4 linked regions of the Caenorhabditis elegans genome follow. The protein of the gene in region 4 interacts with the protein of the main gene of each other region in a pairwise test. Each region holds a gene or a part of one and is shown on either strand. Other genes may lie near its edges. The genes, in order: nhr-20, ztf-20, ceh-23 and xnd-1.

Evidence for each region.
Region 1: the proteins of xnd-1 (region 4) and nhr-20 interact in a two-hybrid assay, tested with the Caenorhabditis elegans proteins (one large-scale study listed by BioGRID).
Region 2: the proteins of xnd-1 (region 4) and ztf-20 interact in a two-hybrid assay, tested with the Caenorhabditis elegans proteins (one large-scale study listed by BioGRID).
Region 3: the proteins of xnd-1 (region 4) and ceh-23 interact in a two-hybrid assay, tested with the Caenorhabditis elegans proteins (one large-scale study listed by BioGRID).

What each region holds. Positions count from the first base shown.
Region 1 is NC_003281.10:4,229,839-4,236,024, forward strand, and holds nhr-20 (Nuclear hormone receptor family member nhr-20), read right to left. Parts: upstream 3,382-6,186; 5' UTR 3,365-3,381; coding exon 3,166-3,364; intron 2,890-3,165; coding exon 2,713-2,889; intron 2,592-2,712; coding exon 2,503-2,591; intron 2,361-2,502; coding exon 2,300-2,360; intron 2,195-2,299; coding exon 2,037-2,194; intron 1,885-2,036; coding exon 1,565-1,884; intron 1,261-1,564; coding exon 1,145-1,260; intron 1,097-1,144; coding exon 939-1,096; intron 881-938; coding exon 785-880; 3' UTR 598-784; downstream 1-597. Other genes in the region: F43C1.5 (uncharacterized protein), read left to right, coding at 51-272, 515-555. UniProt on the Caenorhabditis elegans protein: Orphan nuclear receptor.
Region 2 is NC_003283.11:18,956,115-18,962,167, forward strand, and holds ztf-20 (C2H2-type domain-containing protein), read right to left. Parts: upstream 4,059-6,053; coding exon 3,977-4,058; intron 3,934-3,976; coding exon 3,815-3,933; intron 3,731-3,814; coding exon 3,537-3,730; intron 3,476-3,536; coding exon 3,290-3,475; intron 2,533-3,289; coding exon 2,358-2,532; 3' UTR 1,453-2,357; downstream 1-1,452. Other genes in the region: hrg-10 (DUF833-domain-containing protein), read right to left, coding at 16-127, 174-296, 1,063-1,192; Y39B6A.43 (DUF4124 domain-containing protein), read right to left, coding at 4,987-5,302, 5,437-5,634.
Region 3 is NC_003281.10:7,836,927-7,842,246, reverse strand, and holds ceh-23 (Homeobox protein ceh-23), read right to left. Parts: upstream 2,656-5,320; 5' UTR 2,654-2,655; coding exon 2,581-2,653; intron 2,341-2,580; coding exon 2,168-2,340; intron 2,115-2,167; coding exon 1,717-2,114; intron 1,154-1,716; coding exon 880-1,153; 3' UTR 756-879; downstream 1-755. UniProt on the Caenorhabditis elegans protein: Probable transcription factor. Required for differentiation of AIY interneurons, acting downstream of LIM/homeobox protein ttx-3. Modulates gene expression, acting downstream of AMP kinase aak-2/AMPK signaling. Modulates lifespan.
Region 4 is NC_003281.10:5,602,530-5,608,736, reverse strand, and holds xnd-1 (X chromosome NonDisjunction factor), read right to left. Parts: upstream 4,278-6,207; 5' UTR 4,277-4,277; coding exon 3,904-4,276; intron 3,858-3,903; coding exon 3,668-3,857; intron 3,618-3,667; coding exon 3,526-3,617; intron 3,479-3,525; coding exon 3,277-3,478; intron 3,188-3,276; coding exon 2,941-3,187; intron 2,484-2,940; coding exon 2,145-2,483; intron 2,101-2,144; coding exon 1,519-2,100; intron 1,472-1,518; coding exon 1,388-1,471; 3' UTR 1,181-1,387; downstream 1-1,180. Other genes in the region: C05D2.8 (DUF7064 domain-containing protein), read left to right, coding at 19-259, 304-414, 899-1,163; madf-11 (MADF domain-containing protein), read left to right, coding at 5,307-5,373, 5,419-5,510, 5,555-5,816, 5,865-6,136.

The sequences.
Region 1 (6,186 bases), 1.4 Mb from region 4:
TATGGGAAAAACAGGAGAAAATAAACACGTGGCGTCACAATTTCTTTCAGAAAAGTCATGTTCTGACTCATCTTCTATTCAAGAATCGCGCCGGCATGTGAAAATTCCCGGGAAAAATTCGAAAAATTCTAAAATTAGTGTGAACAAAGCGAAAAAATTGGAACCGAGACGACGATCGGACGAAGATCGTGTTCCAGATGGACCATACATCGGGGAGGGAGAAGTAAAATCGGAGAATTTCGCGGCGAAAATAAAGGAAACGTTGAGAAAAGGTGGGGTGGCCATGATTTATAGGGTCGCGAGACTATGTTTAGTTGATATTTCGATAAAACATCTGTGAAACCATTAAAAATCACAAATTTCCCGCAAAAAATCAAAGAGAAATAACGATTTTTGCAGAAAAAAACAAAGAAAATTAAAAAAAAATTTTTTTGAAAAATGAAAAGTCCGCAAATACGCGTGGCGGTGTTTGCGTATTTCACCAACTACCGTACCCAAATATTATTTTTTTCAGCTTCCGGATCACGAATTTCGAGATTATTTTCAGCACCATAATCTAAATTGTTATTTTTTCAGTTGTTAAATAAAAAGGAGACTCATAATGAATTCATTTTATTTTATCACATTGCAGATTGATCACATTTGAAATGCGCAACTATATTTTGTATTAGGAACAGTAAATACAAGAAAATGGGAGACAGAAGATGAGAGAGAACCCGTAAAATGTTGATTTTTCCATATAAAGTATTAAAATATTAAAAACAAAAAAAGAAAACAAATTCCACTAAAGTGTCAACAGGGATTTTGAAAGAGCATCTAGCTTGAATAGTTCGAAAAGTTCCGCCGATTTGTAGGTTTCCATTATTAATTGATTCATTTCCTGAAAGAAATAAACATTATTTTTTAGTCTCATTTATCAGTTGTAAATGAAAACTTACAAAAACAGTTCCCATTAACAAAATGAGATTTCCTATCCTCATGCCAGTTTCATCAGGATTTCCGTACAAATCATCATAATAATTGTGTAATCCGTTGAGCAATGCTTCTTCGTGTTCCTTCCCGATTACTTTCATACTTGGAGTAAATTCACAGTAACCTACAAAATATTTGATTTTTATTAATTTCTCACTAGATGAATTCTAACCCAGTTTCCAAATGCACAAAGCTTTAAGAGCTGCAAATTCCACGTGTGTCATTTTTAAATTCCGGATCGGCCGGCAAATAGCGTCATTGAAGCGACCCAAAAAACCAAGAAATAGCCTGAAAAATAATATAAAATTCAATTGACCAAAACATTCAAGTTTTCAGGACAATTATTTGATGCAACATGAATGAAAAAAGGTCGTAGTGACCTTATTTAACAGTAAAGTTATTCCTAATTCACATTTTCTATTTGAATTTCAGTTTGTGTTATATTAACTTTAAAAAATTTTTCTTCATGGTGCATCGATAGCCAAAAATTTGGTTCTCTCTAGAGAGCTCTCAATTCAAAATATGCGCCCAAAATCAAATTTTTCCTTATTCCAAACGAATAAGTGCTCAAAATATTGAATGAATTACTCACTTTTTCTTATCATGCGCACAAATATCCTCTTCATCATCCCATCCATACGATAAATTATTAACTGTACACACACTTCCATCCGTATACATTAAAACTGGCTCGGCGGCTTCTTCTGGGTAAGCTTGTACAGTAATCCAAGCGATATCCAGCAGGCAGTAGGCTAATGAACAACTTCTAAAGAAGATTGCCTTTTCCACTCGACTAAGAAAATCGAATCCGGGGCAACATTTACAAAAGTCAAATGCCAGGAGATTATCGAATCGTTGAGATTCGTATTGTCGTTTCAGAGAGTGAGGAGGTGGTTCCGTTGCGTCAAATGGCTGCAAATTTGACCTTTTCGACTAGGAGTATAAAAAATGTACCAATAAGCCACGCCCATTATTTTCAACCTGTGCACAGTTTTAAACTTTAAATTTTACTTCAAAAACTGTGCACAAGTTGAAATAAATTCCGATTAAAATGGGAAACTCACCACATCGCCTCGATCATCAATGACAGCTAAAAGTGCAGTATCCGTAAAAATCATTCGTCGCCGGTCCATTGAGTTTTTCAACTGATCCACATAAAATCGAAGCAACTCTTCTCCGTTCATACTGAGGATTTTCGATTCTGCCAGTTTTGGAGACGGTGCTGAAATTACTTGATTGGGTAAGTTTTGTTTGAAAATACTGAGATGTCCCTTTAAAAGTACATGACGTCTTTCTCCGTGGGTCTTGCCACCACTAAAAAACTCACATCTTTCCAACCTCTGCGTTGATCCACCACTCGTTGACGGGATATCGCTGGGGTCAAACTTCTGAAAATTTAGAAAAAATATAAATGTTTAAGTTTTTGTTCCTAGAGTTTCCATGGCAGGCAGGTTTCAGTCCTACATGCCTGCCTAACACATGTTTTTTTTCTAGGTCTTATTGAAGGCTTGAATATTCATAAGCACTTACAAAGTCTGCCATCATTGGGCTGTCATTTGGAAGAAGTCCGGGCGGCGATTTTTTCTCAATCGACAGAGGAGAATTGTCATCAGTTTGGTCTGAAGTATTTGGGTTTTTTCAAAAAGGAGTTAACGGGTCTCGCCACGATACATTGAGTCACGCGTACTTAATGCATCGTATTTTACACGCAAGTTTATTAACTTCAAAAAGAGCACTCACCTCCAGAGCATTCAAACTTGCACTCATCATATTCCATCTTAATTTGATCTTCTCTCAACATATTCATATGTTTCTTCGGAATTTTCTTATTCGACCTTCTTTTCTGTACACATTCTCGCCGCATACCAGCTTTCACACATTTATCGAATCGACAAGCTCGGCAAATCATTCGGAGTTCTGGAAAAGTAGTTTTAAAGTGGGTGTGTAGGTAAGTTGCAACTCCGATTCTATCACGTAAGCCTTCAGATCGGAATATGCCTGCTGACTGACCCGGACTACTCCCAAAATATATGTGAACAATCTTTTTTTATTTTTCGAGTCTATCCCCTAACCTAGAAAAACCTATAAAATGTTGAGCGCTGCATAATATATTTTTTTCCGTTCTATGAAACGTAGAACATTTTTGGTTATTTGCAGGACCTTAAAAATTCGGCCACATTTCCAGATGCTTACCATGAAATATCACGCAGTTCTTGTCCTTTTTGCACTGAAACTGAATATTCAGCGATACGGTCCTTCGGAAAAACGCGGCACACGCCAGACATGATGTACTCCCAAAATGCGCGGAGCCACCATCTGGATGCTCACAAACAAGGCATTTGGATGTGGGTGGAATGCCACTGTAACCACCACTTGATCGTTCTTGTTTCATTCAATGTTTTTTGACAGCTGAAAATTATTTTTATGAGCGAAATGTACACAGCCAGATGAGTAACAAATATATAAGGTCAATATTTAAAAAAAAAGAAGTTCAATTGACCGGAGATAATACGTTCAGAGAAAAAATATGATGATCATCTGTATGAGTGAAATAGAGTGTGAAATTGTGCATGACATTTTGAGGAATACTATCGCGAAAATAAATGAAACCGGTCTCTCCTAGCATCATGATCTCTTGAAATTGCGCGTTGAGATATAGTCTATTTCTGACAGCATTTTATACAATTTAAAACGTTTCTGCATAACTGGCATAATTTTGTACATTTAAGAACTGACGATTTTTCAGTAACTTAAATTTTTACACCGAGGGTACTAGTCAGAAATACTAATAATTTGGTTGCGACATGTTATCCTTTTTCAGAGATACAGAAGCTTAAAGGCACATGGCTCCAAGTTAATTTTTGTAAATTTGCAAATTGTAAACCTTGGCTATCATGTAAAAGTTTAAACAACAAAGGAATTACTGTTATACATAACTCTCCGAAAAATATTTCCCCACGCCTCTTTGATTCAATTATTGGATAGATACAAAATAGGATGTGTGTAGGTGGTGGAGCTGTGATCTATGTTATTAATATTATAGTAATCTATGAATTGTATTAATATACATCTCGAAATTGATTGTTTTGGATGAAAATGTGATCAGTTGAAAATACTTACCGTGTTTTTCCGATTGGTATTTTTTCCTCTATGAGCAGTGTCAAGCTTTGTTTTCAGGGCATATATTTTTTAAAGTCAAAATAAATAAATATTTTAATTATATCAAAACTTTGTGAAAGTTTGAAAATACAATCCAAAATTTGAAAAAAAAAATGCCAATTTGCCATGCAATTTGAATGAGAATTCGAAAATCTGGAAACTTTTAAACTAACGATAAATAAGTTTGTAAATTTTTAGAGTTAGAGGTATTTTCAGTTTACACAAAATTTTCATGGTTTATATTAATTCTAGGTTTTGAAATTTGCCAAATTTTCCAAAAAACGACCACTGCTGAGATTACCGGTATTTTTCGATTGCGATCCTTATTTTTTGCAGGTGAAAATTTTTTGCTACGACTCATAAAAATTAAGTTAAGAGCTGTTGAAAGTTGCTCTAATATTGTAAAGCTTTCCAAAAAATTTTTGAATTTTTTTTTCACTAAAAAATTAGAGATTGCTATGTTTTTACCTACCATAATATTGGAATTCGGCCAAAAAAGTTTTCTCTACGATTTTATATTTCAGTTAGGCTTCAAAAATTTGCATTTAACGAGTGTAGGGCTGCTCATAACTTATTGAAAATCTAGAACATTTTAGTGAATCAATTTTTAGACTATTTCGACAAAATCCAACTTTTCTCTGCTTTAATGTTTAAAATCATTAAAAGGAGAAAATTAAATTTATTATTTTTATCCATCAAAATCGTTTCTCAGAAACACTTTTCTTAGTCTATTTTCAGAAGAAAAGAGAAAGGAAAAGCCTTTCAAACTTGTCCCTATTTACAACTAGACTCTAGTTTTCTATGCTTTCATCACATGTTTGCAATGTCCCGAAAAGCGGAAAAAAACACACGTGGGAATTTTTTGAAAGTAAACATTTTGATATTCCCCAGATAAAAAGTGATATGATGCTGATTCAAGTGATTCATATAATCAAATAATTAGTAGTGACGTGATGTTAATGAATTCTGCAGGGATTCAAAGAGATCAAAAAATTAAACCTGGTTTCAGATTTCAAAAAAATTTGGCTGCATTCTTGAAACTCAGTCAGATTGTTTGCGAATAAATTGTTATTTTGATTCAGAAATTTTAAAAATAGTCGTGAGAGGGCGCAGACCAATCAGCGATGCGCAGTGGGCGTAGCCAACATAGGTGATTGGTCGGTGGCCGCCTTTTTTGCGTGGGAATTTGAAATTGAATTGGCAGAAAAAAAAATAATAAGGGGAAATTTCGAATAGAAAATTGTTTTTTGGCAAGTTTTGATTTTTTTCGAATATAATTTTGTTGAAATTCGACGAATTTTAAAGCAATTTCCAAAAAAAAGTGTTTTTAGCAAAAAAACGTTGTTTTCTCTGCAAATATCAATTAGTATTCAAATTTGATAAAACCTAAACAATTCTAAACATTTTCTGAAAATTAAGCAAACAATGTTCTAGAAACAATAAAATTATAAGCCTAGAGATTTATACCCCAGGTCCAAAAATTTGTTTTTTTTTCGATAACGTCTTCCATCAAACACCAGTCACAAAAATCTCAAATTATTAGATCAAGAGAGCATTCTGACCAAGCAGAGGGGGGATTAATCGAGCGACGACTGGAATAAATTTATTAACGGGAGCTTTAGGTCGTCTAGAAATAGACACACGAGGAAGAGAAAACTACGCAGACTAAAAAATTTAATATATTTTTGTTTATGCTAAACAGAAGACCAAGCTATATAAAATAAGTTGAACTTTGAATTTTTAGTAGAGAACGATCAGAAAAATTATTTTCGACAGCATTATCGTTCAGTCGATGCACCATAAGTTTAGCTTAACATTTTTCTAATTTTCTGGGAGGTTATACAAAGTGATTTGAGAAAATTAGAGGTCGAAAATTTATCATAATTCACAAGGATTTATTGTATTAAAAAATACACTTAATAGAAGATCATAAAAGGGTGCTATTCCCAAGGAAACTACCAAAATGAGCTCATAGAGATGCGTTCTAGACAGGAAAAACAAGGTGTTCACTGCACAGACCACTGGCACGAAACTCCAAATTTTGTTCTTCTTCGA
Region 2 (6,053 bases), on a different chromosome or scaffold from region 4:
CTCTCAAAAACTAACTTTTCAACTCCAACAAACTGAAAACCATTGAATTTTTCCGCATTTTCTCGCAAATTTTCGTAAAATTTAGTTGTATCCGTGCCACTTTTCAAGTATTCATTGACAATTCCACCTGAAAATCGGAAATTTGCGCGTTATCGAGAGATGCGCCAACTAGCCTCTGCTAGGCGCATTTTTGTGTTTTGAGTCGACAGGTTGGGTGATTGAAAGCAACATTCCGACTTTTCCATGTGCATCCATTCCTAGCCAAGTACCACGGGCCACATCTTTTTCGTCAACTCCTGGAATTTCCAATTTTCTAGACATTTTTGGGAAAAATTTGAATTTCCGCTGAAAATTTTGAATTTTTATTGTTAAATTCGAATTTTCCATTAAATTCTGCTTTTAGTGGTTTTTCGTTTGACTTTCTAGCTCAAATTTTGAGTTTTCTGGGGTACTGTAGCTCCGGAAGTCCGCAAACACCGACTACCGTGCCCCAAAACACCGAATCTTACGGAATTTTGAGCTAGAACTCTGAAAACTGGGGCTTAGGGGTAAAATGTGACGAAGAATTCAAATTTCTTAATGAACAGTGTCTGAAATTTTCGGAAAAGGTTCAAATTTCTGATTTTCCTATTTTTTTGAAAAAATAAAATAAAAAAATTCGATTTTCGTTACGAAATTTGAGTTCTCCATTAAATTCTAATATAAGAGGTATTTTTCTGGGTGTTCTAGCTCAATTTTGAATTTTCTGGGGTATTGTAGCTCCGGAAGTACGCAAACACCAACTACCGTACCCCAAAACACCGGATCTTACGGAATTTTACACGGAAACCCTAAAAACTGAGGGGTAGGGGTAAAAATGACGGGGAATTCGAATTTTCCAGTGCAAAATTGCAAAAAAAATACATTTTTCTCAATTTTCTGAAAAAAAAATTTTTTTTTCTAAATTTTAAAATTTTCTAATTTTTTTAAAACCTTCACATAGGTTTTCAAATATGCGGAATTCGATTTCTTTATTTCAATTTTTCCAATTTTTCCCTGTAAAGTGATAATTTCCAGCCTTACCACTCAGCATCCCATCGTGCCAGTGAATGGGAGTAGTCGGCCGGTCCAAATCCTCATCTCTATTGTTCAGAATAATTAATTTGTATTTTTCACTGGGTGAAGTAGCAATTTTAATAAATCCAATGCACATTTTGGAAAACTCTGGAAAAAATCCGAAAATGAATTTTTAATTGAATTTTTTGAATTTTTTGAATTTTTGGGTGAAAAGTGTTGGAAATTTGCAAATTTTGAACAAAAATGAGAAGTAGTTTGAAGAAATGAAAAATTCCAAAAGAAAATTTCCAAAAAAAAAAATTTCAAAAAAAATTTTTTTTCAAATTTTTTCAACATTGAATATTATCAGTGCTACAATACACATATGACCACAATATAGGCTTCAGTGCAAAAGTTTTTGCAGAAAAAAAGTTTATTCCCGGGGAAAATAACATACAAAGTACACACAGAAACGCGGGAAAAAATGATGACATTTTCTTTATCACAAAAAAATATCAGATAAGAGAACAATAATCAGAGATCATAAAACAATATATACACTGGAACAATACAAAAAAGAAAAGATAAATAATTTTTTTCCAAATTTTTTTATTTTTGAAAATTCCATAAATTTCATATTAAATTCAATTTTTCCTTTAAATTCTGAGCCTTTTACATTTTTTCTGGAGCTTCTAGCCCAAAATCTAGAAATTTGGGTTACTGTAGTTTTGGAAGTACGCAAACACCGGATTCTACGGAATTTTGCACAAAAACGCTGAAAAGAATGATATAGATGTGAAATTCGTCGGAGAGCTCGAATTTCACACTGAAAAAATGTTTAAAACTTCGGAAAATGCTGAAATTTCAGATTTTTGGATTTATATTGATTTTCGACACTAAAAATTGAGAATTCTCATGTTTTAATGTGCAAAATTCGAATTTCCCGTCGAATTCTGAGTGAGAATCGTTTTTCCCGGTATTCTAGCGCTGAATTTGAACATTTTCGGGTACTTCACACTGCAAAGGTTGAAAAAATCTCAAAAAATGCTGAAATTTCAAGCATTTAGAATTTTATGGTATTTTCCGCAGTTAACATTTGGTATTTGTATACTTTACTGAAAAATTCGAAATTTTTATCGAATTCTGAGCTAATCCGTCTATTTATAGGCTTCTAGAGTTAAATTTGAGAAATTTTGGGTACTGTAGCGCCGAAAGCACGCAAACACCGACTACCGTACTCAAAACACCGGACTTGACGGAATTTTGCACTAAAACTCTGCAAAGTTGCTACCCGAGGTAAAAGGTGATGAAAAACTAGAATTTTACAATAAAATCTCATCAGAAATTGCAGAAAATTTCGAATGATTTCTCTGACAATGTCGTTTCAAGTTCTTTTCACTATCACTGCTATATTCGCATTTCTCGCATCGAATTGATCCTCCTTTAATATTCATTCCACGTTGAAAATGTGTCTGATGATTTGTTTGTTTTCCATGTCTGAAAATATTTAAAAATTTAAGAAAAATCGTGAAAATCTGTAAATTTTAGAGAAAAATCGATTAAAAATCTGCAAAAATCAATAGAAACTGTTTTTGGTAACTACTAATTTTTTGGGCGCTGCTAATTTTTTGGGCGCTGCTAATATTTTAGGCGCTGCTAATTTTTTGGTCGCTGTTAATTTTTGGGCGCTGCTAATTTTTTAGGCGCTGCTAATTTTTTGGCGCTGCTAATTTTTTAAGCGCTGCTAATTTTTTGGGCGCTGCTAATTTTTTGGCGCTGCTAATTTTTTGGTCGCTGCTAATTTTTGGTCGCTGCTAATTTTTGGTCGCTGCTAATTTTTGGTCGCTGCTAATTTTTGGGCGCTGCTAATTTTTGGGCGCTGCTAATTTTTTGGCGCTGCTAATTTTTTGGGCGCTGCTAATTTTTGGTCACTGCTAATTTTTGGTCGCTGCTAATTTTTGGGCGCTGCTAATTTTTGGGCTCTGCTAATTTTTTAGGCACTGCTAATTTTTGAGCGCTGCTAATTTTTTGGGCACTGCTAATTTTTTAGCCGCTGCTAATTTTTGGGCGCTGCTAATTTTTTGGTCGCTGCTAATTTTTGGTCGCTGCTAATTTTTTGGGCGCTGCTAATATTTTAGGCGCTGCTAATTTTTTGAGCGCTGCTAATTTTTGGGCGCTGCTAATTTTTTGGTCGCTGCTAATTTTCTGGGCGCTGCTAATTTTTGGGCGCTGCTAATTTTTTGGGCGTTCTCACCTGTAAAGTGCTTTTCGATTAGGAAAACTCCCCGAACATTCCGCACAAATCGATTTTTCCCCGCAGATTTTTATCGATTTTTTCGGAATTTCCGGTGGTTTTTCTGGCGGTTCGGCGGGAATTTGAATTTTTCGCTCAATTTTTCGGCGAGGAGGTCGTGTCGCGTGTTCGGCGGTTTTTCCGTGTCTGAGAAAATATTTTTTTAAAGAAAATTTCTGTTTTTTTTTTAAATTAAAATATAATATACCTGTAAAGCCCTTTCCGATTGTTAAATGCATCTCCACACGTAAAACAGTACAATTCTCTAGGTTGTGACGTGACGAACGACGATGACGTAGTAGTGTCTAATGCCACGTCATCATAGTAGATGAAATCCTGCGATGACGTAGACGGCTCCAGGTGACCGAGAAAATCAGCGGCGGATGGATCCAAGAAATCTTCCTGAAATGATGAGAAATTGCAGCGCCCAAAAAATTAGCAGCGACCAAAATTCCAAATTTCCCAAACTTTTCCCTAATTACGTACCACCATATGTTTTCCCATATCCACTAGACATTCTTCCTGTGTATTTTGGAAGTTATCCTCAATAAATATCACACTTTGTGTCATTTCTTCAACTGCTGCGTCCATACGTTCTGGAAGTACTTTTTTCAAAAAATTAAAAAAATTTTGCTCGTCTCTACAAACCTATTGCTTCTGAAAGATGAACGTCTGGTAGTTGTGAAAATTCGTGTTTGAGTTGCTCTAGGTGTTCTAAGAAGCTTTCCATCTGAAAATTAGTTGATCGTGGCGGGACCCCCCAGAAATTCGAATATTTTCTGAAATTTTCAAACTTAGTCATGATTATACTTTTTCAAACCGCAGTGGTCTTCTGATTCCAAAAATTTACAGAAAATGGGTCTCACCACGAAAACCAGAAGTTTTCATGGCCGGACCCAAAAATTCAAACTTTTCAAACCTAGTCATGATTATACTTATTTAAACCGTCATTTTATACTAATTTCTAATAATGTCAAATGAAATCGATTGCTCGAAAATTCACACTTTTCGTGGCGAGACCCAAAAACTCGAAAAAATAAATAAATTCGGAGTCTAGTAATGATTATACTTATTAGAACCGCCATTTTATGCTGATTTCAAAACTATAAAATTTCAGGAATTTCGATCGAAAATCACCGAGTTATCCTAGTTTTTCTGATTTTCGCGGCGGGACCCAAAAATTTAAAATTTTTAAATAGTCGTGATTATACTCATTCAAACCGCGCATTTCATGTCAATTTGAAAACTATTATGAACTAGAAATTTCGATCGAAATTTGCCGAGTTCCGCTAGTTTTTTGGTTTTCGTGGCAGGACCCAAAACTCAAAAAAAAATTAATGAATTCGAAACCTAGTCATGATTATACTTATTCGAACCGCTGTGATCTCCTGATTTCAAAAACATACAAGAAAACCAGCGGGTTACTGTAGATTTCATGGCAAGGCTCAACTTTTACAATTGTCGTTAAGTTATAATGGAAATTCGAAACCATATTGTGTAAAAGTGACTCAAAATTGAAAAAAAAAAACAATTATTTATTTATTTTGAAAATTAAAAAAATTCAAACAAAAATCCAAAAAAAAAAATTTTGAAATTTTTTATTTCAAAATTTAAATTTTTCGCATTTTCAAAAACTAAAAAAAATTTAAAAAATCATTTCAATATTCCATCGTATCCTGCACAATAACTTCTTCTTCTTCAATAATTTGTTCATGATCCCACACTTCTTCTTCTTGTTCCTGATGTACAATATGGTGGTGGTGCTCCACACCGAATCTCTGCTCCATTCTAGCCAAAAGCCCGTCGGCCCGGTCTAAAACCGCCGAAAATCTGTCCTGATTTTGCATTTCTCGTCGAATAAGCTGTAATTTCAGCTCGTGAAGGTTTTCAGCCGATGTTGATGACGTGGATTGTTGGGGTTCCGGTGGGAAGGTGACACGTTTTAGTAGCGGTGGTGGTGATGGGGCAAGGTTTCTGGAAAAAAAACTTTTGTTAAAAAACATTAAATATGATATTTCTTATTGAAAAATAGAAAATAGAAATTTGAGATTTTCAAAAAAAAAAAATTTTTTTTTCAAAATTTTTATATTTAATTTCGAATTCCGTACTTCTGCAAATTTTCTACCACAGGATCCATAGAACCAGTAGCCTCCACAAATTCTTGTTCCTCATCAGCAATTTGTTGATATCTCGAGTACTCCTTAGACTCTGTTCGTACTCCATTTTGCTTGAAAGCTGGCTCAAATTGAATTGGTTCACCTTTCCAGTAGTATACAATTACAGCGTACTCAGGGGATCCCGGGAAACTGCAAAAAATTCGGTTTTTGAAGGTGGAAAGCTCAAGAAAATTGGTTTTGTTTAAATTCTACATTCTCTTTAAAAAAATACAATAGCTTTGTTCAATTTTTCATCTGAATCCCTATATTTTACAGTATTTCTGAATAGATATATCGAATTAAAACTCAAAACCACAATAGTTTTGCTCGAAGTGATTCAAATATTGTATATATTTTGTTTCGAACGCGCAAAATCGAGTGTATTTATTTTCAGTGAAAAAGTTTTCTTTCAATCGTGTTGGTTTTTAAATATTACATATTCTCAATTGAAATTGTTGCGAAATAGCGTCATTACATAATTTAAATATTTGTTCCCCAGAGTAATATATTCCGGACCAATAGATTGTCAATACCACTGATGGTTTTACGACTACATATCGTCTCCTGTA
Region 3 (5,320 bases), 2.2 Mb from region 4:
TTTTTTATTTTCAAAAATCCTCACAGCAAATTTTCTTTCTCATATTTTTAATTTCTTTTTCATTCTCTTCTAAAATATTACTCAAAATCAGTCAATAAATGTTCAGTTGGTTTTTTTTTGGTTTTTAAACCATCATGAAATGGCAAAATCATGGCGGAACATGGAGCTAAAACTTGAAAATTTTACACTCAAATTGTCACTTTGAACCGTCCAAGAGGCAATTGAAAGCTATTTTTTTCTAAAACACTTGTCTAAGAGAATCTGTATAATTTTTAAAATTTGTTGAAATGTAGAATTCCAAAGACAAGATGTTTCTCAAACCAATTTTTGGTTGGTGGCATAACTTGAATTTTATCAGAAATTTCGATTAAACACACAATTTTTGGCAACTTATCACACAGACTTTATTTATAAGTTGTTCAATGTGGAAAATTACGGTTTGTTCAGTGGAATTTACTGTTTTTTTTTCAAAAGTTGGTCGTATGCAAAATTAAATATATCCACAAAACTTCAAGGACTCGCTAAATTGCGTATCTTCAAACTGGCGTATCTGGAAAAATACACGTCTAAAAACCAAATGTTCAACTAACAAAGTGATCAGAAATATTTTACCTCTTGTTCGCAATACTTTTTTTGTAAAATATTGATTATTTATTGAGTTAGAAAAAATTGAAGCCATTCGCTAAGCTTTCTTGTAAGATTTCACATTTTCTTTGAAGCACCGAACCATTTCCTGATAACGTAACCTATCAAGTAAGTTCACATAAAACTTTATTTGTTTAATGCTTTATAATCAAGAATATACACATTTTTTCTAATTATTTTCTAAAACAGAATATGGCAGGAAATAAACAAGTAAACACGAAAAAAAAAATTAAATTAATTCAGAACTTTTACATCATCTTCATCTTCTTCATCATCTTCCTCTTCATCTTTTCCAATTTCTTCAGATTTTTCTTCTAACGTCGTGCTCTGTTGCTCCTCTTGTTGTTTCCTACGATGTTTGCTTCTCCGGTTTTGAAACCAAATTCTAACTTGAGAAGGTGATAGGCCAAGGCGTTGAGCAAGATTTTCTCGTTCTGCTCCGACTACGTACATTTGTCCTTTAAACATATCTTCCAGTTGTTGAGTTTGTGTTGTACCGTAGATTGTTCTGAAAACTTTGAATTTGTTTGATCTTTAGTTTAGAATCTTAAAACAATCTTCTTCAGCTTCTTACTGTGGGAACCAACAATTTCTTTTCAATTCGGCACGTATGAATTATCCCACGAACTTCGTTTTGCGTCAAAGTTATATTTTAGATTGATTAAGAATTTCTAAAGATAAATAAATTATATTTTTAAAAACTTCAAGTCAGAGGCCAAAAAACTTCCTTTCGGAAATGAAGTAAATGTTTATTTCGTCAAAGGATTTGATAAAGCTTATAAAATCTTAAATGAGTCACCTGATGGTTCTATGATTCGTTGACAATTTTTCTGACTTTTTTTATGAAAGTTTTCTGAAACTGGTTTGTTCAATTTTTGAGGCGAGAAGCCAGTATACAAGTATATTGTGCTCTTCTTCTCGAAAAAAAACGCCACAGCTTCAAAGAAATGTAAATGAAAATTTGTCAAAAAGCTCTTTTCTGAAAAGCTGCAGATTTTGTGCTAAAGATTGATAAAAAGTTGATAGAGTATGCTACAAAGATGTGTCATTTTGCTGGTTTATTCTCCTTACCTTGCTTTTCTATGATTTGCTGCTCTCCGACTATGTGCCATACTATTCATAGCCAAGGGAACAGCTCCCATTAACGCCGCATCTAATGATCCTTGAATTCCTGAAGTTCCAGCAGCTGGAACATGTTGATAATAACATCCAGGCATTCCGGGTAGTTGAGAGGTTGGAGGCATCAATTGTGCAAGTTGTTCACGTAGCAGAACCTCCATATTTGTTTCTGAATAACGTCGTCGTTCTGGAGAACCCGTAGATGGGACTTGAAGCGTGACGGTTGCTTGAGAGGATGCAGGAGGTTCTGGGCAAGAAGCCCGACGGCTTGTTGTTGCAAAAAGTGCATTTGCAAGAGCTTCGACAGCAGATGGATTGGCTTGCAGGAGAGATGGATTTGGAATAAAAGGCTGAAAATACAAAAGGGGTTAAGAGGTTTTTTGAAAATACGAAAATCATTCACCTGTGCTGGAATTGTTGGCAGTATTAAAGAATTGGCTGGTTGTGATGGTGGGAACAAGTTGACACGTGGAATTGTAGCCGAGAAGGGAAGATTCGGTGAAAGCATTCCAGTTGATGTTGAAGGTATACAGGATGTGGGACAGGCTTGTAAAGCAGCAATTGTTTGAAGAACGTCTGAATTCATAAAATGATATGTCAGCCATACAGCTTCTCATCTTTCTCGATTTTTGAATAAGTCTAACAAATCTTATCATCATCATTCCCGAAATCAGCTTATCAGCAATGAAAATCGGATGATTGTCGTGTTTGACAGATGGTTTTCAGTCATGAAATCATTAAATGGTGTGGGGGAATGCGATTTGGATATTAAGGAGCTTTGTGTAAGAGCACATTTCAAAATGGATTTGATGTTACCTGTTAGAGATGATGAAGACACAGGCAGCGGCGTTGAAACTGGCAAAGTTTGGAATGGAAGATGGGTGTCCATCTAGAAAATAAAGATTAATCAAAAAATGTAAAAATGTTGAAAAATGTAAAGAGGTAAAAAATTAAAAGTTTGGCAATTGTAGAACTTACTGTTCTAAGTTTATCAGATCAAGTTGGACAAAAACAGATTCAAACCATAAATTATCTAAAATTACTGGGTGCAATAAAATGCTGATACCCCTGAATGGTAAATTATAGAAACTAAAGTTTTCACTATTGCAGACAAATTCAAAAACGTGTGAGTCTGGGAATATGAAAATACACTGCTTCTCTCCAATTACCAAGGGATGTGAACGAATGATCAAAGCTCAAAATTTACCACTCATTAGTAGATTATAGTAGTCATAGTAGTAGTAAAAGTAATAATAGTAGTCAGTGTGTTGTGCAGGTATATCAGTGTAGATATTATTAAATGAGTCAGACGAAACAAAAATGAAAAGGATTAATTTTTAAAGATCAGTGTTTCCAGGAAATGTTGAAATTGCTAATCGGATTATGAAAGATGAATGGAATCAGATGGGAAGACGTAGATAATGAATGTCTGGAGGATTTTATTTAATCACATTTTTGCATATCAGAAATGAAAAAGTGAGAATTTAAAATAAAAATCTGAAACTTAATTTTCCTTCTCGATTTCTGCAGCTGCTCCAATTTACTACAACCTATTAGATTATTTTCAACAATTTGAGTTTTAAGTGTAAAATTTTTAATTGGTGAAAATTTCGAAAGTTTCAAATATAAAATTGAGAGCAATCGAATTTTGTGTCTAACATATTTCTGTTAGTCAGATATCAAAGCTCACAGGCTAATGTGCTTTAAAGTTTAAATATGATCGAACGTTATACATATTTTACATGCAAATGGAAGCCAATTATTTGTCATTTTCAAGGAAGTCTCAATGTTTGGAAAAAAGAAGATCAAAAATGAAACTAATTTTGAGGTTTTATGGGAATAGCCATGAACATAAATTGCTCTTAATAACGTCTAATACCACAAAAAATTAAAACACTTGAAACTGCTTAAATTTAAAAGATTGTACCACTGTTCGTTTGTAAGATAACTGCGAATCTATAGAAAAAAAAATCAAACAAATTATTTATCAGTTGACAATTTTTCGATAGAACGAACAAAAACTACGACAAACGCTGCCAAAGTTTAAGAGTAAAGTGCATTACTACTAGTGGAAATACGGTACTTGTTTTGAAGGTTAACATAACTATGGTATCTCAAGGTTTGTTATTTTTAATGCAATTTCTAAGAATTCATACTTTTCTCCACTGAAACACATGTTAAAAACTTGCCACTATCATATTTTGAACAATTATGTAGGTACCTAAACCTGATGTAACTAACTTTCTGAGAATCAATACAGAAACATTAAATACCTACCACTTTCCTTCAAAAAAAACTAAGAATATGATTTGTGGGTTTTCTGACCCGAAGCCGGAATTATGAAACTTCTGATTCAAATTCTTCGCAGGTCACATGTTTCATTTAAATCAGAAGGTCGGAGCTAGAAATTGGAAAATATCTAAACAAATAAAAAATACAAATATTTTCAAAGATTATGACACAAAAAATGCACCCAATCATAACTATTTGATCACATCACAGCTTTAGAAAACAATCTTTTATATATCCTCAATTTTTAAGGAGAGCCCGCCCTCTTAGCCTTTTCTAGCAAAAAAAGCGTAGATGCTTAAAAACGGAAAAGGCGGAGCTATGTAGTTTATCACCTTCTGATGATGATAGCTTTGACGATGATTATAGTGATAAAGATCATTTGTTCATCGAATAATCGCTTTGGGCGGGGGGAGTGAGAGGATTATCCGGATTGAGCCGAGTGGATTCGATAATTAGTTGGAGCGTCTTAAAACTTTTTTGACGTGATTGGGAAAAAAAGTCACAAGTGGATAAAGAATTGGATGATCTGAAAGGATTAAAAATTATTCGAAATGATGACGTGTAAATGTGCAATGAGCTATGTACTGTACATATGCATGAATCCTTAAAATTCAGATTTAAGTTTCAAAGTTGTAAAACCATCAAATATTGGTTTTTTATATTTGAATTCAAAACCAGGGGTGTGGCAAATCCACAAAAGTGCCCACTTTGGTATGATAATTTTCTGTAAATGTAAAAATATCTGATTGATTCGAAAATATTGTTTTAAGAACCTCGAACAATTCGCGATTGAATAACAAATTTCCGTCAGTTTTTCAGATTTTTTTGGGTTTTTCAACAATTACCTTATATTAGGCAATTGCCGGCAATGCAAGTTTTTTTAAAAAGAATACTTTAATATTTATTTTTGATTTTAAAATGTATATTATAAACTATAGAATTTTTCGGTGGGGACATTTTTTGAGTATTTTCATGTTGATTTTGGGTTCTTTTTTCCGAATACCACAGTTTTTTTTTCAATTTTTTCTACGAAACTTGTGTGAAAGCCATTTTTTATAAAATTCTAAACTCTTCTCAATCTTTGGTGGCATTTCATTTTTTGATTAAATTCTTTTTAACCTACGTAGATATTACGCAAAAAGTTTTTAAACGCCTAATTTATTATCAAATCTTTTCTCCGCTCTAGTAGATCAAGACCTAATCGAATTTTTCCAACAAAGTGTGCTTGCAAACATAATTTTTTCTTCATCTAGATTTTTGCTCT
Region 4 (6,207 bases):
TTTATTTTCTATTTCCAGGAAATCAATTCGATTTCGACAAGATGTGCTCCCCCACTGCAATTGCTCATTCTTTAGCAATTGAGCCATGGAGCCGTGGACTCTTCGATAAAATGCGAGCATCCCATCAGTCACACTATGAACAATTTGGAACGATTTCTGGAGATTTTCGAATTGGAAATCACACTGCTTCTGGAATTCGAATGACGAGCATGAGAGATCACACGATTGCTGGATACCGCAGATGGTCAGACATTCGAAGGTAAAGTGGAACTTGTTTGCATCGTAGATTGACTAAATTTCCAGATATATCATGATGATTTACCATTTGGAAGATGGTACATGTGTTCATACTTCGGTTATTTCAATGCCAGAAACTGTTTTTAGTCACCTTGAATTTGGATATATTGTTACACCGTGGGTTGATGCATCTACGCTCCAAGAAAACACATAAAATGGCTCAACAGGGCGCATTTGAATTTTTCTGCGAGAGACACCACACATTCACAGCGTTTTGAAACCGTGGAATTCAATTCACGGAATATGTCAAAAAGTGACAATTACTCAGTTTTTCCACTTATAATTTTCGAAGTCACCCCAAAAAATTGTTTTTTTATCACATTTTTTAATACTTTAATTTTGTTTTAACTATTCGTATTAACACATTGTAGGGGTATGCAACATTGCTTTAGATTTTCTCAATAGCTCCTATTTTTCAATATTTTGGCAATTTGCGAAAGCTTACGAAAAATATAAACATTTTTGGAGTGTTTTATTATGATTTTTCGTCGTTTTGGATCATTATAAGTGTCCTTTAAGTCGTTTCGAGACCGAGTACCGTATTCTCGCAAAAGATTCTAGTAATTTCCTTAATGGGCAGAACCTAAATTTTTTTTTTCAGAACTGGTGAGACGAAGCCAGTGGATCGTGTACACTTCTCCCTTCCAAACCACGGAGAGGATCGTCATTTCCCTGATGATTTCCACTACTCGTTCGAAGTTGACGGCAAGATTCATCACGCAGATGTTCATATCAAGGAAGCCGTCTCATTCAAAATGGGATTGGATCAAGCATGTCAGGTCACCGAAGGAATGAGCGAATTCGTTGTCGACGGAAAGCCGGGATGGGGATTCGCGGAAGTCGAGTATCGTATTCAGCCGTATTAAAAAATTATCAAATTCAGATTTTCTACCTTTTCCACTTACTTTATAAAACCGTTTCATATGCTACTAACAAATGTGGGGTCAACGTGCAGAACAGAGCAACAGTAAAATGTACAAAAAATAATAAAACACTGGGAGGGGATAACAAGTTCCGAAGAACTAAAAACATGAGACAACAAAACATTTAGAACGAGAAAACAAAAACAAAAGAACAGAGATTGTAGCAGCTACGTAGCAGAAGTTGAAGCCCTTTTGTCAACCTCATCCAGTAGATAGTTCACCGTTTCTTGGACACTTTTGTCAATTGGAGTCTGTAAAACCAAATATTTCAAGTTTTCAAATTGTTCAGTTCTCTTACCCGAACAATATACTTTGTGCACGATTTGAAGCGAAGATATAGTCCCTTGCGAGGAGACTGCACCTCCAGAGGCTTCTCCTTTCTCGGGCGGCCTCTTTTGCGAACAAGGCTTGCCGTCGTGTCCTTCTTCGGCTGAACTTGCTCTATTTCGGGCTGCTTCTTCTTCATCACCGGAATCACTGCAGTCCTGGGAAGCGAGTAGGGAGTTTTGAGAGTTGGTGGACGAAGAATCCTCGGAGTTGTGATATTTGACCAGCGGAGAACGGTATTCTTGGGTGGTGGTTGATCTTGCAGATTTTGGGAAGACGTGGATGCTGTTGTGAAGTTTGTGAGTGGATGATGTCTTTTCTCATCTTCATCATTCTTCTTTTTCTCCACTGCAGTTTCTACTGGTTGCGTAGTGGGTGGTCTTCCAACCGGTCTTGCTGCTGAGGAAGAAGGACCATCAGAACCTTCCCTATTACGAGCCATCGATGCCTGATTAACTGAGTAGAACTGAGTGAGTACATGTGGAGCTCGCATGGTCTGCCCACAAAACTTCTCGGATCCGAAAGAAGACTTCAGGGAGGTCAGTTCGTTTCTCTGAAAAAAGTTAGATTAAATCTTCTTTGTTCTTTGAAACTTACCGAAACACCAACACGATCAGCACACTTTGGAATGATAGACATATTGGCAATCTCAATACATCTACGAACCGTCGCACTGCAAAATCCGGTCATCTGAGCCGACACCTCGTCCGGTTTCTGCCAAACAGTTCCAGCAGCTCGATCGCCGAGTCGTTTCGCGTATTCTCGATTCCAAATTGCTGTTCTAGCTACCATGACGCGTGTCTGATCGCAAAGATGAGCACGGATGGCAATAACGGTAGAATCGTCGACGAATCGGAAGGAGCTCATATCCACAGGCTTTTGAATTTCGGCGCAACGATAACATCTTCCATTGACTCCTTTGACGAAGGCGGGGGCCTGAATTTTGAAAATTGTTCGTTGTAGGTCTCGCCACAAATAATTTGATTTTGTAAAGTACTAGCCAGTGGCAAAATTTTAGGAAGAACTACGGTCGCACCACGAACAATTATCTCCAATCATCCCGGCGCAAAAATGTAAGCGCCTTTTAGAACTACAGTAACCCTTCTCCTCTTCTTTTCAATGTCGCTGAACTTTCTTATTTTTCGCCAAGATTTTTTTAATTTATTGAGAGAAACTGGAGTTGGGTTACTGTAGTTCTTCAAAAAATTTACCATTTTGTGCAACCATTAGATGAAAATATTTTTTGCTTATGATGAAAACAGGGAATGAAATAATATAATTATTGGATGAAAAACACTAGTAATTGCTGAAAAGTTTTTTTGTTAATGATAATGCAGGAAAATTCGAAATATTGAAGTTCCACTTTAGGGTTTTCCAAAAATATATAATTTACCGCCATATTCGAGTAGAACGTCATAGGAGTTTTATGATTATATGCAGGAATTTGGACACTTTTTGGAGCCACGGTACTGTTTTTGGCTTTTGGACGGAAGTTATTCGCTTGTCTGATCACGGCGTTTTTCGTCATCTCCAGAGCTACTTTTTTACGTTCCATTATCGATTTGGAGAGTGGAAGGATTGGAATTGCGCTCGCCGAAATTTTGGTTCGTAGAAGCTGTGATGGATTGATTTCCTCCAATCTGGAAAATTTGCTTTTTAGCAGGACTTATTAAACAAATTGTCATTATTTTGGAAGTCAAGGTTTTCAAAAACCCGAAATTCAACTTACTCAATTCGTTTTCCGACTCTTTCCGTATGTTCACTTCCAAGCGTTGCGTCTTCCTCGAGAATTTTCCCTTCACTTGGTTCGCTTACAGACTCCCGAGTACTTCCACTTTGTCGCTCGAGAATTGGCGGCGGTGTGACAGCTCGCTGGTACCGAGATCGCAGAAATTCCTCCTCATCAGAATCATAACTGTTTCGGAAGATATCTGAAGAGAAAATGAGCTTTAAAAAATCAAATTTTCATGGAAAATACCTCTTTTGGTTCGATTCGACTCAAATCTGGATATCAGAGATCGCTGTGGTGGAAGATCTGGTGGGCGTGTAGGGTCGGCCATAATTTTAATTCTGAAGACGGGTGATTGTTTTGTTTAATAAAAAACTTTTTAAAAACTAACGCTTCCTCCTCTTCGTCGAATCCAACAACGTCCACATCCTCATCAGAGTCTGTAAGCACTATTGGCTTAGATACAACAGGATTCGGATTTTTTGGAGAATTTTGTGCCTTTTCGAGTGTTACTTGTTGGTTATTAACAACTAACGGGGACTTCGACTTGTCTGTATTCTGAGAACGAATGACGTAGACTTCTGAAAACAATATTTTTATTTAACAGAGGACCATTTGCAAACAAACTTCTTCGTGGCAAATTTGGATCCGTAGCTTTTTTAACTGGCTTTGGTGGAGGTGGGAGACAGGAATCTCCGAATGAAGCCCATCCAATATGAGCTTTAGGTTCATAATTACTAGAAGATGCCGGTGGTGAATCAGTTTCGTCGTCGTCGTCGACTATCAGAAGATCATCGACGCTCAACGTTTTCTGGGATGTGGAAGGTTCATCATCTTTAGCAGTTTGCGGTTTTGGATCAACTTTTGGAAACTTGACCGCTGCTCGTTCTTCTTCATTCATAAAAGCAAATGACATTGGGGATATTGGTGGAAAAGCTGCGGGTGCAGGCTCTGTCGTCATGGAATTGTCTAGATTGGCAACAATGGGTTCAGAAGACATCCTGGAAACAAAAAATATGGAGATAAAATTTTTAAATTTAAATTTAAACTGTTTTTATTTACCAGAAAACTAGAAAATCCCAATGAGAAAGAAGGGAAATTAATAGAAAAATAAAGTTTTAAAAATACCTAAATTTTCTACAGTACCCGAGGTCTCGCGAAGATTTTGGTCCGCAGTACGCAAACACTCTTATGCTTGTTTACCGTAACCACTGAAATATTTTTTCGTTGTTTTTCTTTATTTAAAAAAAGTTATCTATTTTTCGAAATTTATTGAAAATTTCACATTTCAAAACCGTCAATAATTCTTTTAAAATTCATTTTTCGCAATATGGATTTTCTTCAAATGTTAAACCAGAGTTTTCTTGTAATTCCTTGAACAAATCACATTTTTAAATCACATAACCATTTTCGTTTCTGGAAATCTTCACTTTGAAGTTGAATTCTTGTTAGATTATATTTGTTTAACTCTGAAAAATAGTTAAAATGTGTGTTTTTATATGTTTTGTTTCAGATTTCCCCTGCTTTGTTTTCCTTTCCTAGACTAAGTTTTTAAATTTCGATCAATCCTTTTTCTTCATTTTACCCTCTCAAAACCATTTATTTACTCACTTGAGAGACGCAGAGAAACCATCGATGGCCTAGATGTCTCGTCTCGCCTCCTTCTCGGCCACGCGCGCCTATCTATCGATGTTTTTCTGCCTGTTCGCTCCGTTTTCTTTTTCGAATCTTGACCGCTTCGCATGCCTGTTCCGTTGCGGTTTCTGAAGCGTTTCGGTTGCGTCGCGGTTCCCGGCTCCGCCCTACTACCCGTTCGAGTCTCCCACGGTCTGTAGCACGTCTATCACCTATGTGAATGAGTGTGTACGATCATCTTCTTGCCAATCGGGTTATTGGGTTCAATGGATCGTAGATTGATATGAAACTCGAATTCGGGAAGGAATCGCCACGCAACGCAGCTAGAAATGCTTGAGAAACTTGCGAGAATTTGAGAAGAAAATAAATTTCAGAATTATTATTAAAAATTTCCAATGAGCGACCGACGGCGGCACGGAACAGAGGATTATCAAATCGCCGGTCTCAAGCATTCAATGACAAGTAAATCGATATTCATAGATTCAGAATTTCCAATAATTTTTCCAGGTGTCGCCTCAAGCTCCCACGGTGGTGCTGGAGACCTCCAACAACAATTTTCCAGGGAAGATCCACCCGTAAAAACTACGCAATACACACTTGTAAGCTGGAAAACGTTTAAAATTCAAAATTTTCAAATTTTCAGCTTCAACTAATCAATATGGTTCGAGAAAATCCGATTCTCTACGATGAGGAGATGCAAGCCGCCACGCCGGATGCTCAGTTGAAGGTTCAGAAACGAGAAGCATGGGATCGGATACGTGCTGATATAGTTTGGCAGGACATCACTCTTGTTCAGGAAGTCTGGTCGGATCTTCTCGATCAATATGCTAGAAAATCGATTGATATGTCCGATGGACTAATTGAGGCAATGCGATGGACAGATTCATTGATTTTTAAGAAGAAATGTAAGAGTTTCTTGCAAAGAAATACACCAAAATCATTTATATTTTCAGCAGACTCTCGACCTCCTTCACAGCTCACCGCAATGTCCTCCGGACTGGATAAGGATTTCTATAATGACGTTCCGCTGGCAGAAGATGTATTAGAACCCGGACAAAGTCTCGGAAATTCTGAATCCATGAAGTTCGATTATGTGGTTATTCAGCCTCATGTTAGGCCACATCAACAAATTCCCACATCTTCATATTCCCGTCGAAAATCACCACAATCAAGAGAAACAGAGGCAATTGTTCGAACTTATCCATTATCGCCGAAGCGGATAGTGGTAAGTGCAAAAACGATGAAGTAATTACTACTCAGACCCTAATTTTTCCGATTTTTGCTGACTATGAGATA